3 linked regions of the Notamacropus eugenii genome follow. The protein of the gene in region 3 interacts with the protein of the main gene of each other region in a pairwise test. Links are inferred from orthologs where the notes say so. Each region holds a gene or a part of one and is shown on either strand. Other genes may lie near its edges. The genes, in order: ZBTB33, KCTD6 and CTNND1.

Region 1 (8,026 bases), on a different chromosome or scaffold from region 3:
GGCTGCCATTAAGGCCTCGGATGTCCAGTGTCTGGGTGAGAGTAGGGCGGGATCTCCTCGCAGCAAGTCATACAGCGGGTACAGATCACCATCGGGAATAGGGATAACTGCCCGCATCCACTGTATAGCGCCAATCAGCTTTTGAAAATCATTGAGAGTGGAGGGCTGAGAGAGATCAATGCTCGGAGGACGGCGAGCAATTCGCCCTTGTTTTAGTTCATAACCAAGATACTGAAAAGGGGGTGTGGTCTGTACTTTGTCTGGAGCCACAGTCAGCCCGTGGGCAGCTAAGGTATCAATCATAAGCTGAGTAAGGGCCATTGTGGAATCATGGCTAGGCGTAGCAACAAGAATGTCATCCATATAATGAATGATAATGGCCTTGGGGAAGCGCTGTCTAAGTGGAGAGAGGATAGCATGGACATACATTTGGCACATGGTAGGGCTATTTGCCATCCCTTGAGGGAGCACGGTAAAATGATACCGTTCATATGGTTGCTGGCGATTTTCCGAAGGGATGGAAAAGGCAAATTTGATCCTATCTTGTGGGTGTAGGGGAATGCTATAGAAACAATCTTTGATATCAATGATTGTCATAGTAAAATCTCGGGGGATCGCAGCAGGAGTGGGGAGACCGGGCTGTAGTGCCCCCATAGGCAGCATGCATTTGTTAATCTCTCTAATGTCTATGAGCATGCGCCAGGATCCAATTTTCTTCTTTATAACAAAAACAGGAGAATTATAAGGGCTCGTGGTGGGCTCAATGCGGTCCTGTTTCAAAAGGGAGGCCACTATGGAACGTAAGGCGGTGAGCTTTTGGGGGGATAGGGGCCACTGTTCAACCCACACAGGGGTCTCAGTTTTCCATGTTATAGGCGGGCTGCTCACCATTATGGTGGCCCCAGCATGTTTAACTGAAGGTGTTCTGGAGTGGTAAGGTGTAACCCAAGTTGCTGGAGGAGGTCGCGCCCCCAAAGGGCGTAAGCAAGACCGGCCAATTTTAAGGGTCTAAAATATCCCTGATAATCCTCAAAGGTCCAACTCAAATGTTTAGCAGCCCGTAGCGCTGAACTAGCACCCCCTACTCCAGCAACCGGGGTAGCACCGCCGCTCACCGCCCAACTGGGGTCCCATTGGGATGCATTAATAACTGACACATCTGCTCCAGTATTGAGCAGACCCATGATTGGACGCCCTTCAACCAGAATCTGTATCATGGGGCGATTGCCTACAATGGGAGAGCACCAATTAATTTGATGGGTGTTCTGCTCAGGCTCTTCAATCCAAGGCAGGGAGATGCCCCTCCCAACGGGAGTCCCTGGGGCAATATTTATAGGATAACAATGCGGATTAGTCAAATAAATCGTGGAGGACCCGCTGGACAACAATTGAGTATGGACTATGAATGGCACATAGCCGGAGGGTCCCACCACCAAGCGGGGAAAGGGAGTGGGGGGCACATCAATCCCTTCAGTATGCCAAGGCCTTATAACTAAATCAGTGTCTGAGGGATCCGTGGCAGATGTGCATACTAAGGTTGTAATTTTTGAAGGGCTTGTTGGTACTGCTCACGAAATCAGTAGGGGACTCGCTAGCCCTCTGCTTTAACCCTACCAACTTATCCCTCATAGTCCCTGGGGCGTCAATCTTGGCAAAGCCCCTAATATGACAATACTGTACTGCAGCCATCACCTGGGGGTCGAATTGGAGCTGGTCAACAAGCTGCGAGTATGGCCCCGCCCCTGTTATCATATTCACAGCATCCTCTGTCCCTGCAATATTGTGTTCCTTGACATATCTGAGCGCCTCTCGTCTAACGGCAGTGCCATAGGCCACTACCTGCCCTGGTGTAAGAATAGCCCCCGATACCTCCCTCCAATCAGCTGGGGCCCATGGCCAAGTGGCTGTGGCATTTGCAAGGAGATGTTTCACATAAGGTGACAAAGGGCCGTATTTGGAGACGGCCTCCTTCAGTTCTTTCAATAATTTGAAGGGCACCGGTCGATGTAAACGGTTCTCATTTCCCATCAGATCCCGCTCCACTATGACAGGGTAAGCGCCTGCCCCCTCCCACTCCTCTAAATCTACCTCCTGTCCCTCCGCCAAAGCTGCGGATAGGCTCTGAGTGAGTACGCTCAGAGGCTCCGAGGGCCCAGACCGCCCGTAGGTAAATGACCGCGATCCTTGTGATGATTGTGACAAGGACATGGCGGCTGGGGGGAAGGAGAAGGCATTAGGTCCGATCTCAGAAGGATTGGGAGTTCCTAAACTCTGTTGAAACTTCTTGCGAATTCCTCTGCCCTCTTTTGTTGTTCCAGGGACTTTCCATTCTTTCTTAAGGGTTCCTTCTGACGAGCCCTTTGTCTCGGGGACTTTCCAGGGGACTTTCCACTCCCTCTTGGGCGTTCCTTCCTCATCAAACTTCCCTTTTGTTCCTCCCCTCGGGGCTCTAGAGTCCCGCCCCTTGCTCAGCCGTGCGCCGTCTTGAAGGGCGCGGTCCTGGTCCCTGCCTGCACATTCTCTTAACATACCCCATAGATATAAGGGCTGGGGCTCAGTATTATCCTCATCGGATTCCCCTTCTTCTTCTGTCGTCCCTTGAAGGGACTGCCCTGTTTGGGTCTCGCCGTTGGACCACCCGGGGGGACGGGGATCCGAACGCAGAAGCGTGGCGACCACTTGAAAGAACGTAAAGTCCTCCTCTGTTAGTACGCCAGGGCTCTCTTTCTCATAGGCGACCATCTGCTGTCCCACTACGCCCCATTTGGCTGGGTGTAGCCCACAATATTCTAACCAAGGGGAAACATCCCAGATCTTTTCCACAAATGCTCTACAGTCCCGGATGTGGGGCTTAAGCCCATGGGTCTTACAAAGCTTATACAACTGACAGGCAAGCACTCCCTTATCTTCGGGCTTCAGGTTGGGAAAACTATTTCCCTGGCCCATCCTGGCCACTTCCCAATACTGAGACTGCCTGAATCTTCCCGCAGTAGCGGGTCAAGGCCACTTCTCAATACTGAGGCTGCCTGAATCTTCCCGCAGTAGCGGGGCAAAGGCGGATTCTCCTCTCCTTACGGCGGTCCCACGTCGGGCGCCAGCTGCCCGGGGTTTACACCCGGGCCTTTGCCTCTCCAATTACCGATACCTGGTCTTCGGACGTCTCCGGCCCCTCTCCCGGTTGGGGGAGGGCAATAAACAGGCAGAGCACCCGAAAGGAGTTGCAGTCAGCAAGCTTTATTGCATTTCTTCCCCTTCTCCTTCTCCTTCTAAGCCCTTGTGATCATCCCCTTTTATTATCCCTGTCTCCTCCCCTGTACCTCCCATGGGCGGGCGAGCTCCTCCCAAGTGCCTCCCTGCGGGTGGAGCCAGCCTGTTACCAGGGCCATCCCAGTACCCCACAAGGGGGCAGGTTCGGACCCTCAGGCGTCTCACGGTCCTCACGGGGGACCCTGGTCCAGAGCTGTCCCCCAACACTTCTAGTTGGAACTAGGTGTTTTTAGGAAATTTTTTTTAGTCAATCAACAAGCAAGGTGCTTAATGGGCTGCTAGGTGGCGCTGCACTAAATAGAGAGCCAGGAAGATTCAGGTTCTTGAGTTCAAATCTGGTTTCAGACACTTCCTAGCTGTGTGACCCTGGGCAAATCACTTCACCCTGTTTGCCTCAGTTTCCTCATCTGTAAAATGAACAGGAGAAGGAAAAGCAACATCTTTACCAAGAAAACACTAAATAGGGTCACTGAAGAGTCCTTCACAACTGAAAACGACTGAGCAATAACAATGGTGCTTAATCCTTGGCATTGTGCCAATAACTGAGGCTACAAAGACAAAAGACAGCCCCTGCTCTCAAGGAGCTCACGGTCTAATGGAGATGACACCCATCTAAAACCATGTAAACTGAATTTAGAACCAGACCTTCAAAATCGCTGTTATCCGAAAGTATTAAACCAAGATTTTTAGAAATAATAAAGCAATCACGTGGCTGTCAGTAACATCATCACCAATCATTATTACGAACAATAATAAGAGATGTTTTAGGGAGGGCCAAGAGGTTTTTTCCCCCCATTTCTTTATGGTGTTTATGAAGATATTTAAAATATAACCTACAGCATCTTTTCTTTGTTGTATGTTTTATAATGCACAGTTATTTCTAAATATACCAAATAAAGCACTTCTTCAAAAATAAAATAAACTTTTAAAAAGGCAAAATTGATATAGTGTGGGAATGCATGCCTAACTTTTTTTTTTTTTTTTAATGACTGCACCATTCAAAAAGTTTATGACCAGTGCACCCCTAGCTCTCGCTGAACTCTAAGGAGACCCGGTTGCTTTCTAGTTGGTGCTTCCCGCCCGTAGGGAAGGAGCTGCAAGTAGCAAAAGGCGCGCTCCCCCCCCCCACCCCCCGCCCCGTCCCCGCTGAGGAGCTGAGCGGCCCCGCCCTTGCGGAAAGCGGGGAGCCGGGAGCGAACATTTCCCTCCCTTTCGGAAGGAGGGAAAAGGAGCCCACGGCTCCCCGCCCTCTGGCCCGGCCCAGTCTCAGGAAAGAGGGAACGGCTCCCTCCAGTTGGGCGGGGGCTGAGCCCACCCCTCTCCAGCGCCCTCCCCCTCTTTCCGAGAGTAGCCGAAGGGAGCCGAGCGTTCCCACTCCATCCCGGAAGGGGCCGCCGGGAGCGCCCCCCTCACCCCGCCCCGGAAGGAGCCCCTGAGAGCCTGGCGCCCCCCCTCGCCGAAGCCGCCCTCGCCCCAGGAGCACCAGGCACAAGCGCCCCGAGTCTGCGGAGAAGGTCGGCCCGGCGGGAAGCGCTTCCGGAAGGAGAGCCGGCCGCCAGCGTGAGCCCGCGGAAGGAGGCAGCCATTGGCTCCCGGGGCCCCCGGCGCCCCGCGCACACCGCCCCCTGCCGGCTCTCGGAGCGGCAGCAGCACAGGCGAGGCTGGCTCCGGCGGCGGCGGAGGCGAAGGTAGCGGCGGTGGAGGCGGCAGCGGCGGCGGCGGCAGCTCCCGAGCCCGAGCAGCAGGCGGAGGGCTGGCAGCGGGGCTTCGGCCTTCCCGTGGCACGAGAGGACGAGGAGCCGGAGCCAAGCGGCAGCAGCGGCGGCGGCAGCAGCGGCGGCGGCGGACGCGGAGCCCGCGGCCCTTGGGGACCAGGTGAGGAAGGGCTGAGCTGAGAGGGGCTCGCCCGCCCGGGCTGGGCCGGTGGCCCCTCGCACAAACCAGGAAGCGACAGCTCTGCGCCTCGGGATTTTCCTTTGTGCGGGGAGGGGGGTGCTCCTCCCGCCCGGAGCCGGGGCGGGGGGCCTCGGGGAGGGGAGGGGGTTGCTGTGTGCCGGACGCGGCTGCCGGATGGACAGGTTTCTCTGCGCCTAGGCCCGGGGCCAGACAAGAGGGAGCCTTCCGACTGTGGCTCCTTCTTTCTCCCGCTTCCCCCTGGCGTAATCCGCGCTTCTTCCCCCCCTCCCCCCTTTCCCCTCCCCTGCTCGCCCCTTCGGGCCACTTCCCGGGCCGTAACAATGCCGCCTGCTTTCCTGTCTCCCTCCCTCCCTCTCTCAATCACCAGCAATCTGCTCTCCCTCGACCACTCTTTCCACTCTATTCACTAGCTTGTACTTTTCTCTATATGTGCCTGATCTTGGATCCCTCCCCCAGCCCTCGGTCCCCCCTAACCTCCCCCCACCCCATGTCCCCCACCTTGCACCGGTAGCTGGTGTGAGACTTTTCCTCCAGAAGGAAAACGCAGGTTGCAAACCCTGCTTTCAACCTACTGGCCTCAGAGGGTAGGGGATGGAGGGGTGGTGGGGGTGGGAGAGCAGGTGGAGGAAGGGAGACAGGTTTCAGCTGCTGCAGTGATCTCCTGTATTTGATTCCCCATATCTAATCCTGTGTTATTTCCTCTCTACACCCCCTCCTCCATCACCTCTGCTTTCCCCCCCTCCCCCCCCAGCGAGAAGGTTGGTTACAAAATGGTTGTGCGGCAGGGATTTTCCACAAAGTCTGCTTGTAGATCCTCAATTTCTCAACCCAAGAAAAACAAACAAATGGAACTCCACCAACTTGCTGGGTTTCCCGTAAATGTCAATTTTCCTTGTTTCCAGTTTAGTAGGACCCCTTTGTGAACCACAGGAAGTCGCAGGGCCTTTTTCGGAAATCCTGCCTACTAAAAAACTGACTACTGTGTTGAAATTCCCACATTTAGGAATCTGAGATTGTTGGCATAAAGCCCAGAAGTCACTCTTTTTCATCTTCTGGATGCCTTTATGTTACTCTGAAACTTTTGGATGTTGGATTAACAAGAAATACTCTACAAAGTAATATCTGTGCCATTTCAGACATGCCAACATTCTGGTGATTTTTGAAAAACTGCACCTTACATCACGTGAATGTTGCTTTAGAACTCTGACGGGAAAGAATATTCATGATGCTAACATTTTTTTCCCTCACAAACCAGTATGATTTATTGATGGTGTTTATCCTGATCTTAGTATATTAATAATTACTAATATTATTATTATAAAAATCTTCAAGTTTTCAAAATGTTTTTGCTGACTAGATATGTCAAGTATAGATGAAGATTTTACTATTTATTGTCTTTGGCCAGACTTTACTCCCTGTTTCTGGGAGATTTTCTGAATTGCCTTCTCATTTCTGCATTTAAAAGTTACAACTTTGATATAGTGGTAGAGAACAAGTCACTCCATGCTTGCATGGTGTGTTCGTTATATTATTTTCTTAGGATTGTAGAATTTATTGACCATCTTGTCCAGAAGTTCCCAAACTTATTTGACCTACTGCCCCCTTTAAAAAAAAAATTACTCAGTGCCCTCTGTAAATCTACTTTCTTTAACCCTTTAACAGTTTTTTAAAAAAATTGTTTCATTTTTTTTGTTTTATTTATATATTTTTAGATTTCGACATTCATTTCCACAAAATTTGGAGTTCCAATTTTTCTCCCCATCTCATCCCTCCCCCCACCCCATAACACCTTGCATTCTGATTACCCCTTCCCTCAATGTACCCTCCCTTCTATCACACCCCACCCTTCCCTTATCCCTCTTCTCTCTTTTCTTGTATGGGGTAAGATAAATTTCTGTACCCCATTACGTGTATTTCTTATTTCCCAGTTATATAAATTCTCAACATTTGTTTCTAATACTTTGAATTCCACCTTCTTTCCCTTCCTCCCTCCCCACCCATCCTTATTGAGAAGGCAAGCAATTCAATACAGGCTATATGTGTGTCATTTTGCAAAAGACTTCCATAATAGTCATGTTGTGTAAGACTAACTATATTTCCCTCCATCTACCCTGTTCCCCCTTTATTCTGTTCTCTCATTTGACCTTCACCCTTCCCTAAAGTGTTTACTTCTAATTACTCCCTTCCCCCATTTACCCTCCCTTCTATCATCCCTCTCACCCCACTTGTCCCCTTCTCCCCTCCTTCCCTGTAGTGTAACATAGATTTTCATACCAGATTGAGTGAGCATGTTATTCCCTCCTTAAGCCAAATGTGATGAGAGTAAGATTCACTTTTTCCCTCTCACCTCCTCCCTTTTCTCCTCCATTGGAAAACATTTTTCTTATCTCTTTTATGAGTTATAAATTGCCCCATTCCATTTCTCCCTTTCTCCTCCCAATATATTCCTCTCTCATCCCTTAATTATATCTCATCCTTTCTGATTCAATTCAACCTGAGCTCTCTCTCTGTATCTGTATGTGTCTATGTGTGTGTGTGTATAATCCTTCCAACTACCCAAATACTGAGAAAAGTCTCAACAGTTACAAATATTATCTTTCCATGTAGGAATGTAAACAGTTCAGCTTTAGAAAGTTCTTTATGTTTTCTCTTTACTGTTTACCCTTTCATGCTTCTCTTGATTCTTATGTTTGAAAGACAGATTTTCTCTTCAGTTCTGGTTTTTTCATCAAGAATGCTGGAAAGTCCTCTATTTCATTGAATGACTATTTTTTCCTCTGAAATATTATACTCAGTTTTGCTGGGTAGGTGATTCTTGGTTTTAATTCTAGTTCCTTTGACT
Region 2 (7,343 bases), on a different chromosome or scaffold from region 3:
AAGACTCAGATTGTGGGAAGCTCAGATGCTCCAGTCTAGATCATGTGATGCCGACAAGGTTCCAGGCTCTAATCCCTTCACCTGAGAAGGAACGGACCAAATGCATAAGCCAAGGACTGAAGCCTGTTCTCAGAACCATGTGACTTTGACTAAAAGACCCAAGGTCTCTCCTCTGCTTATAGCAGAACCTGTCTCTCATCATGATCCAAGGAGTTCAACTAAAGGGGATGAGGTGAAGAGCTTGGACCAAAGCTGACTCAGGCCTTTTTGAAGATTTCCTTAGTCCTAGCTATGAGGCCAATTGGAAAGATTCTTCCTAATCATGTGGTTAGCAGACCAGAACCAGTCACAGAGTGACTAAGCATGTTCAAGTCTCTACATGGCCCTTGCACTACACATCCTTCTGACTCCTCCAGAAGTAGAATCTCTGGCCTCCTGAAAGGGTTAGGGGTCACCGCACCACACTCTAACAACCTTGGATCTATGTCATTGCTTCCAGGAATAAGGAAATCACTGTTCTCTGCCCTGGTCAGACACCATTGGGAATATTGTGTTCATTTCTGGACACCACAGTTTAGGAAGGATTCTAATGAAACTGACACCAAAGGGTGTCCAAATTAGGACTGTGATGGGTCTCGAGTCCTTATCACATGAGAATACATTGGAAAAACTGGGAATGTTTAGTCTGGAGAGGAGCAGAAATAGCGCTCACATGATTATTGACCTCGGGTGCTTGAAGGGATGTCCTGTGGACCTCAGAGTGTCAGGGTCAGGAAGGACCCAAGGGGCCACATAGTCTCGTTGTGCTTGAAAGAGAATGACCTCAACATAGCTTCCAAGTAATCTGCCAGCCTTTGCTTGTAGATCTGCAGGGAGGGAGGGCTCAGTCTCTCCCTGAATAACCTGTTCTTCTCTGTCTTGAATTAGTAGGAAGCTTCTTTCTTCTGCCCGGGAGACCAAGTTGTTTTCTCTGATTTTTTTCACTGTGCTTTCTAGGCCAAAAGAAACGATTACAGTCTCTGGAGAAATGTAGGCAAAGTTCACCCACAGGGTGATAAAAAGGTCCATGGTGGCAGTGAGCATGGCTGGATAGTATAATCAGGAAGGAGAGTCTTCTGTAAAGGACGTCATCGGTGAAATTGGTGACATTTACAATGGCTGGGTTGGTTACCCATGAGGGAGAGCTCATAGGCAGCCAGCATGCTCCATTGACATCCATGCAGTGAATGTCACCAATGTGCTCTTATGCATATGTACCCATGAATGCATGTATACGTGTAGGCATGTATATGCACAAATGGCTATTTGCAATGCATATAATTATGCATGTATATATACTTGCATGAATACACACAAGTCTATATTTGTGTGCATGCACATACTTGTGTACATATGTATACAAGTGTATATTTGTGTGCATGCATGCACACCTATGGATATTTGTGTGCATGAATACATACTGTGATATATAAAAAATTCTAAAGACATAGTTTCTGGGTAATTGCTCATTTTATTAATTATTGCTAGTAGATAATTAATAAAAGGGGTGAGTGGCACTCTTGAATGCCAAAGACCTCTGGTGGCTTCTGGACACTTATATGCCTTTGGAAGAATGGGTGTTCCTGGCAGGCAGCAATCAACTCTGATTGGTTAACAATAATGAACATGATAATGAGAGGTGGACCTATTCTAATGAGGGGCTGGGGGACATGACTGATCACACAGACCTGCCGGAGGAACACAATAATCTGGATTTCACCCAGATTCCACTTTCTTTGTAAGGTTTTCTAGTTGGGTGGGGCAACATTTCCACCTAAAGAAGATGGTCTAGAGGTATAATTTTTGGGGCAAGGTCAGAGGTCTCTTTGAAAGTCTGGACTTTGAAATAGGAAAAAGGAAAAGATTCTGGATTTCCCCAGTAACTGCTTATTTACTCAACACCTATACATCTGTGTGCATGTGTTTTTGTATGTATGTATACACATACACATAGTTTGTGCACATTTATTTACAGGTTTCTTCCCCCATTAAGACTGTGAGCTCTTGGAGGACTATCTTTTGCCCTTTCTTTGTATGCCCAATACTTAGCACAGTGCCTGGCACATAGTAGGTGACTTACACATGCTTGTCGACTTACCTCAACCTGCCATGGTAGTGGGAGCCATTCTCCATCAGTAACATCACGAGTCCCTTCCTTATCTCTTAGCAGGACCCGCTAAGCCTTTGCTCAGGGCTGAGGGTACAAATAGCAGGGGGCCTGCTCTTCCAATAGGGAGGGAGGAAGCCACAGGAGGAGGGGAAACCAGGGTGGACTTTGGGAAGGCACAGGGATGAGGATGGGAGTCTAGGGGGAAGAGACTGATGGGTCCTTTTCAGGAGTGAGGACAAATGGGTAGATTTTCAGAGCTGGGAGGTGGGTGGAGGCAGGGCAGCAAGGGTTGGTGGGGTGGACTGGAAACCTTTCTGGGGTCCGCCTGGACATAGCCTGGTGCATGAATATACTGGCTTCTATCCAATGAATCATTTCTCCTTATTTCTTCACTCCATGAAGTAAACTTTGATGGTGGGAATTTCAGAGCTGAGAGGGTTAAGTCTGGGGGCATGAGATTGTTGAACTGAAATGAGTGTTACAGAATATTTTAAGCATTTCTGACCAAGAGAGGAGGCCCGGGCACAGCTTCTCCCCCATATTCTGGGTATTTATTAGAGAAGATCTAGCCGTCTGCCAGTGAGGAGGTGGGAGCATTTGGTACTGCGGGCATCTTCTGAGAAAAAAGAGCTTCTGGGCCGGCCTTGCCCAGAATCATAACCAATTACATTAGTTCAGCGCGACCAGCTTACCGAAGCACTTGACAGACGTTATCTCATAAGGTCCTCACCACTACCCTGGGAGGTAGGTGCTCTTATTAGCCCCATTTTACAGATAAGGAAACTGAGTCAAGCAAAGTTTCGTGAGCTGCCAGCCCAGGGTCACAAAGCCAGCTGTTGTCCGAGGCAGGATTTGATCTCAGGTCTTGCAGACCTGGTTCAGCCTTCTACATACTCTACCTATTAATGCAGCTGAAATGCCATTATAAGTGCTGCTGTTGGGAGCCCGGGAACCCCCCCCCCCCCCGCCCCCGCGGGAGGCAGGGGCTTCCTGGGGCCTCCTCTTGGCAGTCTGCTCAGCTGTCACATCTGGGCTCGGGCTAAACCTCTAAGGTGTAACCCCAGGTCAACCCGTCAAGCAGGGGCTGAGGCTCCCCTGGGGCTGAGGCTCTATGCCGGGCTGGAGGGCACCCTCTGGCAGGGGTCGGTGGGTGGGGATAGAGAGGTTCCCCCGACGGTATAGAGCCCTAGATTACAGGCTGCCCAGTCCCGAGCGCTCTTTGGAGCGCGGCAGTGACTCCGCCAAGGTCCTACGGAGGGCGGGCAGGCTGGGACTCGGGGTCGGTGGTCTTCTCCCACTCGGCTGAGCCCTGCACTAGCGGGTGCCGCCCGAGGCTCCATCGCAGCCCGTTGGCGAGAGCTGCGATCCTGACCACTGGGCAGCGCGGCCCCCGCCCGCCTGGGGCTTGGGGAGAAGGGCCAGGAACGCGGGGTGCGGGGAGCCTGCGGCGTGAGTGGGGGTGCGTGCGCTGGGCAGTGCGGGGGCAGGAGGCGGAGGGGGGCTGCTGCAGCACGGGGATGAGCCTACCCGGATACCCCCGTTCACACGCGCACCCCCTGCACACACACCCGCACGCGCACCCCCTGCACACACACCCGCACCCCCTGCACACACACCCGCACGCGCACCCCCTGCACACACACCCGCACCCCCTGCACACACACCCGCACCCCCTGCACACACACACGCGTGCACAGTACACACATGTACACACACATGTACACACACACACACACATGTACACACACACACAGGGAGCTCCCACGGCCAGTTCCAGGCCCCGCCCCCACCGCTGTCTCCCAGCCGGGCTGGCTCCCGGCTCCTGGGTCTGGTGCTGGAGGAGGGGAGCGGCGGCGGCGGGGAGGGCTGCGGCGCCGCCAGGATCCGCCAGGGGGCAGCCGAGCGCAGGCGGCCGCCGCTCCTCCCCGCCCTCCCGCTCGCTCTCGCCCGCGCGCTCCCGTCAGGCCCGGCTGAGCCTCGCCGCCCCCGCGGGAGCGCGCCCGCCCTGCCCGTGCCGCGCCCGCGCGCCCCCGCGAACCCCGCGCCCGCGCTCGCTCGGCGGCAGCTCGCTCGGCTGGAGGCGGCGGCGGCGGCGGCGGCGGCGGGAGCAGCGGGAGCGGCGGGAGCGGCGGGAGCGGGAGCGGCGGCGCTGTGTCCCCGGCCCGGCCCGGCCCGGCCCGCCTCCCTCCCGCCCCGGCCCGGCCTGGCCTCGACTGCGGCGGTGAGTGCGGCAGGGGGCTGGGGACCCCCCTCCTACGACCTGGGCAAGCAGGGGGGCCTCGGAGGACCCCTGCCCTCCCCCCAGGAAAGTTGGAGGGGGTCTGGGCTCAGGGGAGGGGCCCCTCAGCGGGGGGCCACGAGGATGCGCCCCCTCCCCTGGAGGCGTGCAGGGACGTGCCGGGGAGACCCCGGCAGGAGCGGGGGGCAGGAGACCCCGGGGGGGCACGTCGAGGGGCGGGGGGGGAAGGAGATTCCCCGGCAGGCGAGCTCCCCAGAGGAGGGGGCTTGTGGAGGAGCGGGGGCAGGAGACCCCCGGGGGGGAGCGCCCCGGAGCAGGCGGGGGTCGGCCGGCGGGGGGGGCGGGATGCGGGGCGGGATGCGGGGCGGGATGCGGGGCGGGTCCCCCCCATCCCGGCCTGGGCGGGCCGGGCCGTGGGACCCGGCGGCCGGTGCCGCAGCCGGTCCGGTCCGAGGCCCCGAGGCTCCCCGGGCCGTGGCCGGTCCGGATCTCTCCCTCAGGACGCTGTGCATCCTGACCAGACGTGCAGACGTCCGGCCGGCCGGCCGCCGGCCTTTTATCCAGCACTTGCGCGTCTTCTTTAACATTCTGGGTACCAGAGGATGGAAAATGAGGCAGGGAGCTGGGCACGGACACGAGGAGCGGGGCCCCGAGGGAGGCCGGCAGCCCGGGTCCGAGCCCCGCTGGCCCCCGGGCCATGGCAGGACAGTCGTTGTGGCTGGCATCGGTGCCAGCTGCCCTTTATGTAGGATGTCCATGATCTTGGGGGTGTAGAACTTTGTATGGTGAGAGTGGGGCCCCCCCAGGGTGGCCCCAGGGCAGCACCGGTGCCCACAAAAGGCAGGGGCCCAGGGGAGGGCCTTCAGGGGGGTGCTAGATCCTGGTGGAGGATCTGTGGTGCCCCTGGACCCAGAGTCTCGCAGGATGAAGAGACCCACCCTCCTGGGTGCTGATCTCTGTTGGCACCTCGGTGAGAGCCTTGAGAGAAGTTCTGAGTGGTTTAAAAGACTGCATTCTCCTTAAGATTGGGGTGACAAGCTAGGCAGCCCTGAGCTGGATTAAGGGTGGGGATGAGAACTCTGTCCAGCATTTTGTGTAGTCACTAATGCAGCAAGTAGGCTTGGACCGCCTATTGCCAGCGAGGCTTCATGGTGTCATGAAACATTAATTAAGTGCCTCATGGCTGCCCTTATTGATCTTCCCTTTTTCAGAGATACTAATTTTCTATCACAAATGCCCAAAATAGAAAAAAAACCCAGTGAGCAGTAGGTTATCAAGAAGTAAAGGCTGGGTGTTTTAAATGAATGAATGAATGAATGAGTGTATAGCTAAAGGAAAGCAGCCTTTTATTTGGGGAGAAGGCCTTGTTCCTTTTAGCATAGCTGAGAAAATTGTTCTTGGGCTAGCTAATAATCCATACAGGTATTTGTATTATGCAGTAAGACCAAGGCATCCACGATTGGGCACCAACCAGTACTAGGTACTGCTTCTGCGAAGTTTTGTGTAAATATAATCACATTGTAATTGTACAAGAACTTGCAATTTAAAGGAATCTGGGGAGGACAGTCATCATCTTCTTTTATCTGGATTTTTCACACTTAGGGTTTGCTTGGCTTCGGACTTCTTTTGTGGAACCACTTTTGCCATAGCAGTCTTCCTGAACAGTATATACTTTGGGCTAGTGGGGCCCCCCCAATTCTGATGAGGCTACCATCTGGAGGTCCCTCTGGGGGACCTTGCAGCCCCTTAGAAGAGCCCGGATGGGGAAAACAGAGGCAGCGCTGCAGTCCCTTACTCCTGGTCTGTTAGCTAGAGAGCTCTGTGGTCCCTCTCTTAACTCAGGCCTTCAGCGTATTACAGAAATTTCATGTAGTGAAGTTATGTACTACATGGAAAGATGATAAAGATGATATGGTACTTAAAAACAGAAACAAACTTCTTACTCACTCCCCTCCCCCCAACCATTTAATCATCATTTTCATATACAGAACTGAAAAGGAAGGAAATCATCCTGTTTCCAAAATGTATTCCCCTAATATCCATGTGCAGCGGGGAGGAAAGGTTGTATTCCTATTTTATCATCAGAGAAATAGAGGTGCCTCAGTGCTGGGAATTAATTTCCTCTCACCCATCAAGTTAGTGATGCTGGAACTAGCCTGTTCTGCTAGACTGCACTGTGGTGATGAATGGCTAAAGAAAAAAGATTTTAAGAATAGTGCCATCTTCACAGTACTGTCTAACAGCTCCCCTGTGGCTTGGAACCAGGAGAGACTGCAAGGACTCCAGACCCATGTCCCATAGCTCTAGGGTGTGACTCAGGGTCACCTCAACTCTTGGAGCCTCAGTAAAAATGCAGGTGATGCTACCAGTGTACCTGCCTGCCTTTCGAGGCTATGGCCAAGATCCCAAGGTCATGTTTGTAAGCTTTGAAGCATGCTTTCTGTGGGGCAGCATAGTAGTGAGTGGATGGTCAGCAGGTCTCACAGCCAGAAGGACTTTGGCTCGAGAGCTGTCACTGCCACGTGGATGTCCCTTCACCTAGCCTTGTGCCACGATAGCTCTCTGACACTAAGGTACAGAGAAGGGACTGAACTTCATGAGGGGAGGGAGTGTCCACACCTGGGAGTTCCTTATACCAATGAAATCACAAGCCAGTTCCTATTGTTATAAATATAAAAACATTCCCCCCCACCCCAAGATGCAGTGGCTGCCTGTGCTAGCTTGTATGTTAACCTGAAGGACTCTTTAGATTTCTCTGAACTAGTTGCTATAAAAAGTATTCTACTTTTAAACTCCCACATGGTTCTATAACTGAGAAACTGAGTACAGAGGTAATTTTGAAGGTATGTGCAGATGTTGGAAATTTATTCTTGTCTTGTGTTTCTAAATGCCAGAAGCAGGGACTTTAGTAGAATGGCATTTTAAGTCTGTCTGGAAATTCTGTGAAGGTAGTCG
Region 3 (7,064 bases):
CATCCCCAGGGGTGCGGCTTCACTGGAGGAGGACTGCTGATAGAAAAGGGAGATGTCCAGAGATCAAAGCACCAGGGTGAGTATGTAGGGCAGAATGGAAAAGGGAACAAGGTGGAAATAGAAAAGGAATTAGAATGGGAGGCAGCTTGCTTGAATTGGAATTTTAATTAAATTTTTAAAAAAGGAAGTACTTGCTGCTAAGTGCTGGAGATATAAATATAAAATTAAAATATAAATATATATAAATGTAAAATATATATAAGCGAGCAAGCTCTCGGTCCTCCAAGAGTCGATAGAAGAAGACAGTACACACAGAGGACTGTGTGGCCCCAGAGGGGTTTTCTGATGACTGGCAGGTGCTCTGAGGAATGGTAATATTGATTTAATTGCTGTGATTACTGCTCTTTTATGACTTATCTATATTTGAATCTTATAACCTTAGACACCTTGCTTTGTCTAGGCCTCAGTTTCCTCATTTGTAAAAGGAAGTTAGTAACCTTATGGCCTCTAAGTGCTCCAGATAAAAAGGAAATGTTTAAAAAAAATAAAAATACAGTACAATATAATGTTAATTTGTGGTTTTCAAAATCAATATACACCCCACAGGGATCCTGCTCGAGTTTAACACCGTTGGACTAGATGATCTCTAAAGTCTCTTCCATTGTGTAATCAATATTTTCAAAAATTTCTCCAAATTGAGAATATCAATCTGAGAAGAGTTTGGTTTTTTTTTGAGGAAGCAGGAAAATTGAGAGGAAATAGAACAGAAGGAGGATGGATTTAGATGGAGCCAGCAGGAAAAAACAGACATAAGACAGAACCCTAAATGTTTATAATGTCTCACTGTAGTATCCCTAGATGATTCAGACAGTGGCATTCCAGTGACGAGATAGGGTTGAAATTTGAACAAAGATTAAGATTATCTTTGCTTTATCTTCTTGGAAACGTTACTATGAGGGCAAAGCGAAGTACCAAGAATTATAACAGTCATCTTTTATACTTTTATCCTAGCTAGCATAACTACAGTTTCATCCCGGGTCAGCAGAATTTTTAAAGGAAATGGCACATCATAGCCCTTCTCAGGATCTCAAAAATCATACGTTTTAGGTGATATCTAGTAACCAAAAGGGCATTTTTTGTGTGTATGTATTTATCCAATGCTTTCTTCAGATTGAATGTTTGTTAATCTCTACTTCTTGCTATTAATCTCTTTAATGTAGATTTCCAGAGTTGGCTAATATAGTATAGTTGTTTATATGCAGATGAATAGATGGTGATTTTATTTTATTTGTTTTATTTTATTTTTATCAGTCCTTTCTCTACTTTTAAAATTTCTTCCTAATCTTTACTTCACCAATTTAAATCATCATTCTGTGTACCTGTTGGTGATGGTTCTGTAAGCCTTAGAGAGTTTTGAAGTTGAATGAAAAATATATTCTGTGTATTTTTAAGACTCAAGCAGAGAATTTGTATGTGCTCGTAATACAACTTTGATTCTTTTTGTATTTAATCCAGTTCAGCAGATATTAGGCACCTGCTATATGCGATGAACCTGGTCTAAAAGACCAAAAGAAAAAAGAGTTTACATTCTTTTGGGGGAATAAAACATGTATATAGATGAAGAAATAGAAGATATTATGAAGCAGCCTCCCACCCCTCATTCTTTTCTAATTTAATATAGAGGTGGTTTCCACTCAGTGCTTAGCAATCTTTATTTAGAAGTGCAGGTTAGATACATTTAATTAAATTTTTTTGTTACCGTGTTTATTTGGTGATCTGTTATGTGTCTTTATTTTAATGTTATTTACAAATTCATGAATGTCCTCTTCATTCTCTGCAGATTAACTTGGAAATTTCAAATAAAGCCACTTTTAAACAGATTTCTTTGTTATGCACTTTCATGAGACAGCCCTCAGTTCATGTGACCTCTTCTATCTGAGCTAATCTGAAGCAGTTTTTTAAGTACAGTAATATACGGTGTCATATCCTGTTTTCCTTTAAATATTTTCTGTTTTCTCCAGGCAGCCGTCTTGGTCTAGTAGGATATCAGTGAATCATTCAAGTAACATTTATTGCTTATTATGTGCAATGTATTGTGATTATCAATTCTTAATGCTGTTTATCGATTGCCATTTCACTATGTTTTAGATTTGTACATTTCTTTCTCAGGAGACAACCAGAAGTATTAGTTTGGGAATCTTAAGAATCTGGATTTTAAGGATGCTCTGTCACTTAAAGAATTTGTGACCTTGAGCAGTTCACTTCACTTTACTAACTTAGCTTCAATTTTCTCTTTCATAAAATAAAAGTGCCCTAGAATGATCTCTAAGGTCTCCTTAGCTCTCAGTCCTATGTTCCTTTATCTAACGAAATCCTCATACTGTTCTTTTCAAACCTATCCAAGTCGTCATTCCTTTCTGTCATGCTTTTTTCCCCATTCCTGTAAAAAAAATCTTAGGCCCAGGCATTTCACACTATGGGACTAGGTTTAATATTCGTGTGTTGGTTCTATTATACAGGGTTCAAAGAGCAATATGGCATAGTTAGGAATGCTTTGTGAAAGAGGTGGGGCCTAACTCTTGAATTGGTTCTTGACAGATGGTTGGGATTTAGAGTGTCTGAGAAGAAGGAAGAAAAAATTAGTTTAGGGAAATATCCAGTCTAGCCGTGGGAGCCGAAATGATTGAGGGGCTGTTCTAGGAATAGTGACAAGATTAACCTTCCTGGCAGGGCGGGTTCTTGCCTGGGATCTATGAGATAAACTTGGGCAGGTAGGGTGGGGTGAGATTGTGAAGGGCTGGGCCCACGGTAATGCACTTTGTCCCCTAGGGTGCTGCTAAAAGATTTTACCGGGTGGGGAGAAATCTGACGAGAAAACCTGTATTGAAAGTAGAATTAATCTGAAATTGTCAGTTATTGTTCGCAGATATTGGGATTTTTTTTTCCTTTCAGAATGAAAAGGAAGTTTTCAACTCACATAACTTAATATTCAGTGAATATTAAATTCTGTGTGCTGGATTCTATACCAGAAACTTAACAACCCCTGCCCTTTAGGACCTGACATTTTAAGAGCGTCATTTATGCTAGACATATCAATATGTTTAAAAAAAAAAGGAATGTAAACAGTTTTTTGTGTAGTCCAGTGTGAGATAAACTAGCAATCATGAGGCCAACTCTGCCAACAGTTCCAAAAAACATATACTGTTATCTTTCTGAGATTTTCTCAGTTGATTTATCTGGGTAGTTTTTTAGTCTACATCACTTGTCCTTCTATATTCTGTATGGTTCACACATTTTTTGATTGGAAGAACAAAGACCGATTATACTAAAGAAACTATTCAGCCCAGGAATCAGTTTCAATTTTAAAAAATTAAAACAATGGAATTGAGATTTACCTCAAAGAAGACCCCTCCCAGTCTCCCCATAAATGGATTAAGTACAGTCTCATTCTTTCTCCCTCCCCCATAGTTAATAACAAAAAAAAAATCGATATATAAATCGACAGCTTATTTATTTATTATTATTTATTGACAGATGCCTGGACATCCCCTACAATCTGAAAGCAGGGGGAAAGGGTTTGAGGAGACATACGCAAAATCCTCAACAGTCCCATCCTCAAAGAGAACTCAGGAAATAGCTTAAGCTTTTTTCTATGCAATGATTTTTTTAAAAACTCAAAAAACTAAACACTTTTTTTCCATTCAGGCTCAGCCCTTGCCATACTTCCTCTAGGATTGTATATCCTTTGCTTTTGCAATATACATGTAGATATACATATTATATATATGCATATGTATTTTTAAAAGTTCTGTGTCTTTTTCTGTCTCTCTCTTTTTTTTTTTTTTTTTCTAATTCCTATAATAAAGTTTCCTATTGGATAAGGTCAGCTCCCTGATTTATGCCAGGTTTCTATTGGAAGTGCTCAAAGGCTGACATCACTTAGGAAAGCGAGGGGGTAGGGCTGGCAGACCAGTTTGTCACCACCCAGCCTCCCTTGCCTTTGGCTGGGTGCAACTTCCATTTTAGGTGTTGGATCTGAGAGGAAAGAAAAAAAAAGAAGAGGGAGAGAAGGAAAGAAAGAAGAGGAACGAGCCGTAAAGGAGAAAGAGGTGGAGAAAAATTAATACACTATTGTCCTTGTCTTTTTCGGCAGTACTGGCAAGGATTGGGGTTCCTTTTTGTAAAGGATTGTTTTTTAGAAGTCTGCAAACGAGGTGTGTGTCTGTGTCTGTGTAATGTGTCCAGAGGAGGGGAATGATAGGCTATCTAGTTGAATTTTTAATTTTTGCTAACTAGAGGGATTTTCAAAAGGTGCTGGATGTTTGGGAGAAATTCAGCTAGGCTGGCTAATTTTAAAACATTTTTTTCCTCTCAATTTTTGCTACTTTTAATTTTATTTTTCAAAGCAAAACAGCAAGGAGAAGGAAAAACTTCTGGGTCTCCAGCGCTGGGAGCTAGTTGAGCAGCTCCTGAGGGGTAAGAGCAGTCCTGTGAATTTGTCTGCTGGTGTACTTTCTGACTGTTCATTGCTTTCTAGGTCTAAGTGAACATATTTACATAACCTTTGGTAACAAAATTCTCAAAGTTGGGTTTTGGTGTATTGTGTGGGTTGAGACAGGAATTTGTCTTCAGGTCGAAAGCTGGTTTCGTAGATGGCTTTTCATATGTTTTAAAACTTATTTTACTTTTTGCCCTGTTTGTGGACGTGGAAAGTTGCAAGGAGATTTGCAGCTTAAGCTGTGGTAGTGGCTTCCCACTCCTCTCCCCCCGCTCCCCACCCAAGAGTGTGATTAAACTCCCGTACTCTGTTTCAGCCTCATGTTCCTGGGTGGATCCCGTTTTTTTACTTTTCCAGGTGCAGTGGGTGGGAGCCTCTTTCTCTTGTACTGGCCCTGCTGCCTTGCCTTTTAAAAGAAAACAAATGGATTCTCATGGACTACATTTCCCTTTTCTTAAAACTACCTTAAGTTGATAAGACTTTCACCCCTACTTCCGAAAATCTGCAAAAACTGTTACGAGAGTTTTGGAATTAGGAGGTCTTTTAGTTTACTTGAGTGAAGGAGAAAAATAGTTTAGAAATGATCTTAGCTTTTTATTTATTTAGAAATGAGAGGTTAGACAAGGTGAACAGAAAACTGTTACACACTTGAATTTCCAATTCATTTGATGAATTTTAAGAGGAAAAATATTTTTAAAAAACTGAAGTTTAGTTTTGTAGGTGAGTAGATTTTTAGTTGATTTCCTAAAAGATCAGAACTTTCGTAGCATTGTAGGCCACTGACTTTCCCCTCCCTTGTTTTAAATCTTTTTTATTTGTGAAGTACTTTTTTATATGTACTTCAACAAAATTTTAGATGATCATGTAGTCAGATCATTAGCTAAAGACTTAGACTTCCTCTTCTCCCTTTGCCCTTTTAACAATCAGAGCTACTCTAAAAACTATACATGCAATTATATTCTTGACCTAATTGCAACAAGATGGGCCTTAATTTAGTGGCCTTTAGTACCTAAACTATCATACCTTTAAAAGTTCCATGTATGTTTATTTCCTTCCCTTTTTAATTAGAAAACTTCCCTGAAAATGTTTTTGCATGCAAAACTGGAGTGTTGAGGGAGTTACTTGCTTTAGGGGTTTCAAAATAAAATGGAATTTCTTCTTTATGCCAGGACCAAAGTGGAGTGGTTCCTATAAGCCTTATCAATTCTTTCTTCCTTGACTCTGCAGTCTAAATTTAAAAAGAAAGGATGGCACATTTATGGGGAATATCCTAGGAGATGATTGATTCAGCCCTTTCGACTGTGTCTTTATTTGAATAGGGCTAGAAGAATTTGGACGCTATTCATCTCCCTTTTTCTGCCTTGGCTTCAGCCTGAGGTTCTAAATACATTTTTGGATGACTGATCAGAATTGCTAGTTGACCCATTATCCCTCTAAACCTTTAAGTGGGTATCTGTTGAGAAAGATTACAAAGACATTTTGAAAATGGAAAATAGGCTTTTGAAGACTGGGTAGTGGTGATTGGTGGATGGACACCGCACAGTGATGGTAGGATCCAAGTAAGTATCTGGAATAGAGGTTCTTAACATTTTTTGTGCTATGGGACCCCTTTGGCAATCTGATAAAGCCTATTGACTTCCTCAGCATAATTTTAAAAATTAATAATTGAAGGAAATGCCAATTTTAGTTAGACATTAGTAAAAACAGAACTTTTCCCCCAGAGACCCCCCTCCCCCCGCCTTGAAATATATTCTTTGGTCCATGGACCCCAGATTAAGAAATCTCTGGTCCAGAGTTAGTGGAGGCAGCTCTAGATGTTGTCATTGGCCTGTTTTAGATGAGGAAGCAGACTTGTCTTCTGTCTCCTATATTCAAGAATTGTAGGAGGTTTGGAACTCCAGAGAAGGGTACCGTCGGGTTCCTCTTTTGGAAGTGAGGGGAATGCCCTCCAGTTTGAGCGGTAGGCTAAGTAGGCATATTTTTATGTTTTGTTTTCACCTTTGTATTAATGGTCCATTTGATAAGTGATCCAGTGACCTTTGTTCTTGTGAAATCTCCTAGAAGGCAGGGTATTGTCAGGCTTCTATTTTTTCTAGCAGTGTTGGAACTGAATTGGGGGTAAATCCCATAATTGTATTTTCTTAGGCCATAGAGAAATGGAATTATAAAATTTGCCTTTATCTGACATGGAATTTAGAGTTTCTACTACCAGTTCCAAGTAGTTAAAATTAAAACCTGGTTGTCCTATTCCCTGAAGAGATGTAGGTGACAGTCTTGTGAATGTAACTAGTCTTTCAAAAGAGAAGATAGAATAGATGGAAAGAAATGGACCTCTACGGGCTCATTAAGAGACTTTGTGTTGCCCTGAAGAAATCATTATATCCTTCTTCTGGTAGCAGGTTCCCCTTTTACTTCCATTTCCCAGGCCAAGACTGCTGCCATTTCTAGGGGGTAGTTTAAAAAAAACAAACAAACCCTAGTAAATGGCACAATGTTTTCATCTTGTTCAAGGTCCTCATTTTACTTTTCCATATTGGTTTAAAGTACACAATATTCCTGCTTATTT

Evidence for each region.
Region 1: the proteins of CTNND1 (region 3) and ZBTB33 interact in binary tests that used the Homo sapiens proteins (3 or more experiments, as listed by UniProt). The link is inferred for Notamacropus eugenii from reciprocal best matches to the Homo sapiens genes CTNND1 and ZBTB33.
Region 2: the proteins of CTNND1 (region 3) and KCTD6 interact in binary tests that used the Homo sapiens proteins (3 or more experiments, as listed by UniProt). The two-hybrid records come from large-scale screens. The link is inferred for Notamacropus eugenii from reciprocal best matches to the Homo sapiens genes CTNND1 and KCTD6.

What each region holds. Positions count from the first base shown.
Region 1 is NC_092879.1:43,638,426-43,646,451, forward strand, and holds the start of ZBTB33 (transcriptional regulator Kaiso), read left to right. Parts: upstream 1-5,012; 5' UTR 5,013-5,142; intron 5,143-8,026. UniProt on the Homo sapiens protein: Transcriptional regulator with bimodal DNA-binding specificity.
Region 2 is NC_092874.1:466,814,810-466,822,152, reverse strand, and holds the start of KCTD6 (BTB/POZ domain-containing protein KCTD6), read left to right. Parts: upstream 1-4,255; 5' UTR 4,256-4,370; intron 4,371-7,343. UniProt on the Homo sapiens protein: Probable substrate-specific adapter of a BCR (BTB-CUL3-RBX1) E3 ubiquitin-protein ligase complex mediating the ubiquitination and subsequent proteasomal degradation of target proteins.
Region 3 is NC_092873.1:3,342,019-3,349,082, forward strand, and holds the start of CTNND1 (catenin delta-1), read left to right. Parts: upstream 1-3,981; 5' UTR 3,982-4,109; exon of another isoform or gene 4,110-4,214; intron 4,215-4,406; exon of another isoform or gene 4,407-4,476; intron 4,477-7,064. UniProt on the Homo sapiens protein: Key regulator of cell-cell adhesion that associates with and regulates the cell adhesion properties of both C-, E- and N-cadherins, being critical for their surface stability.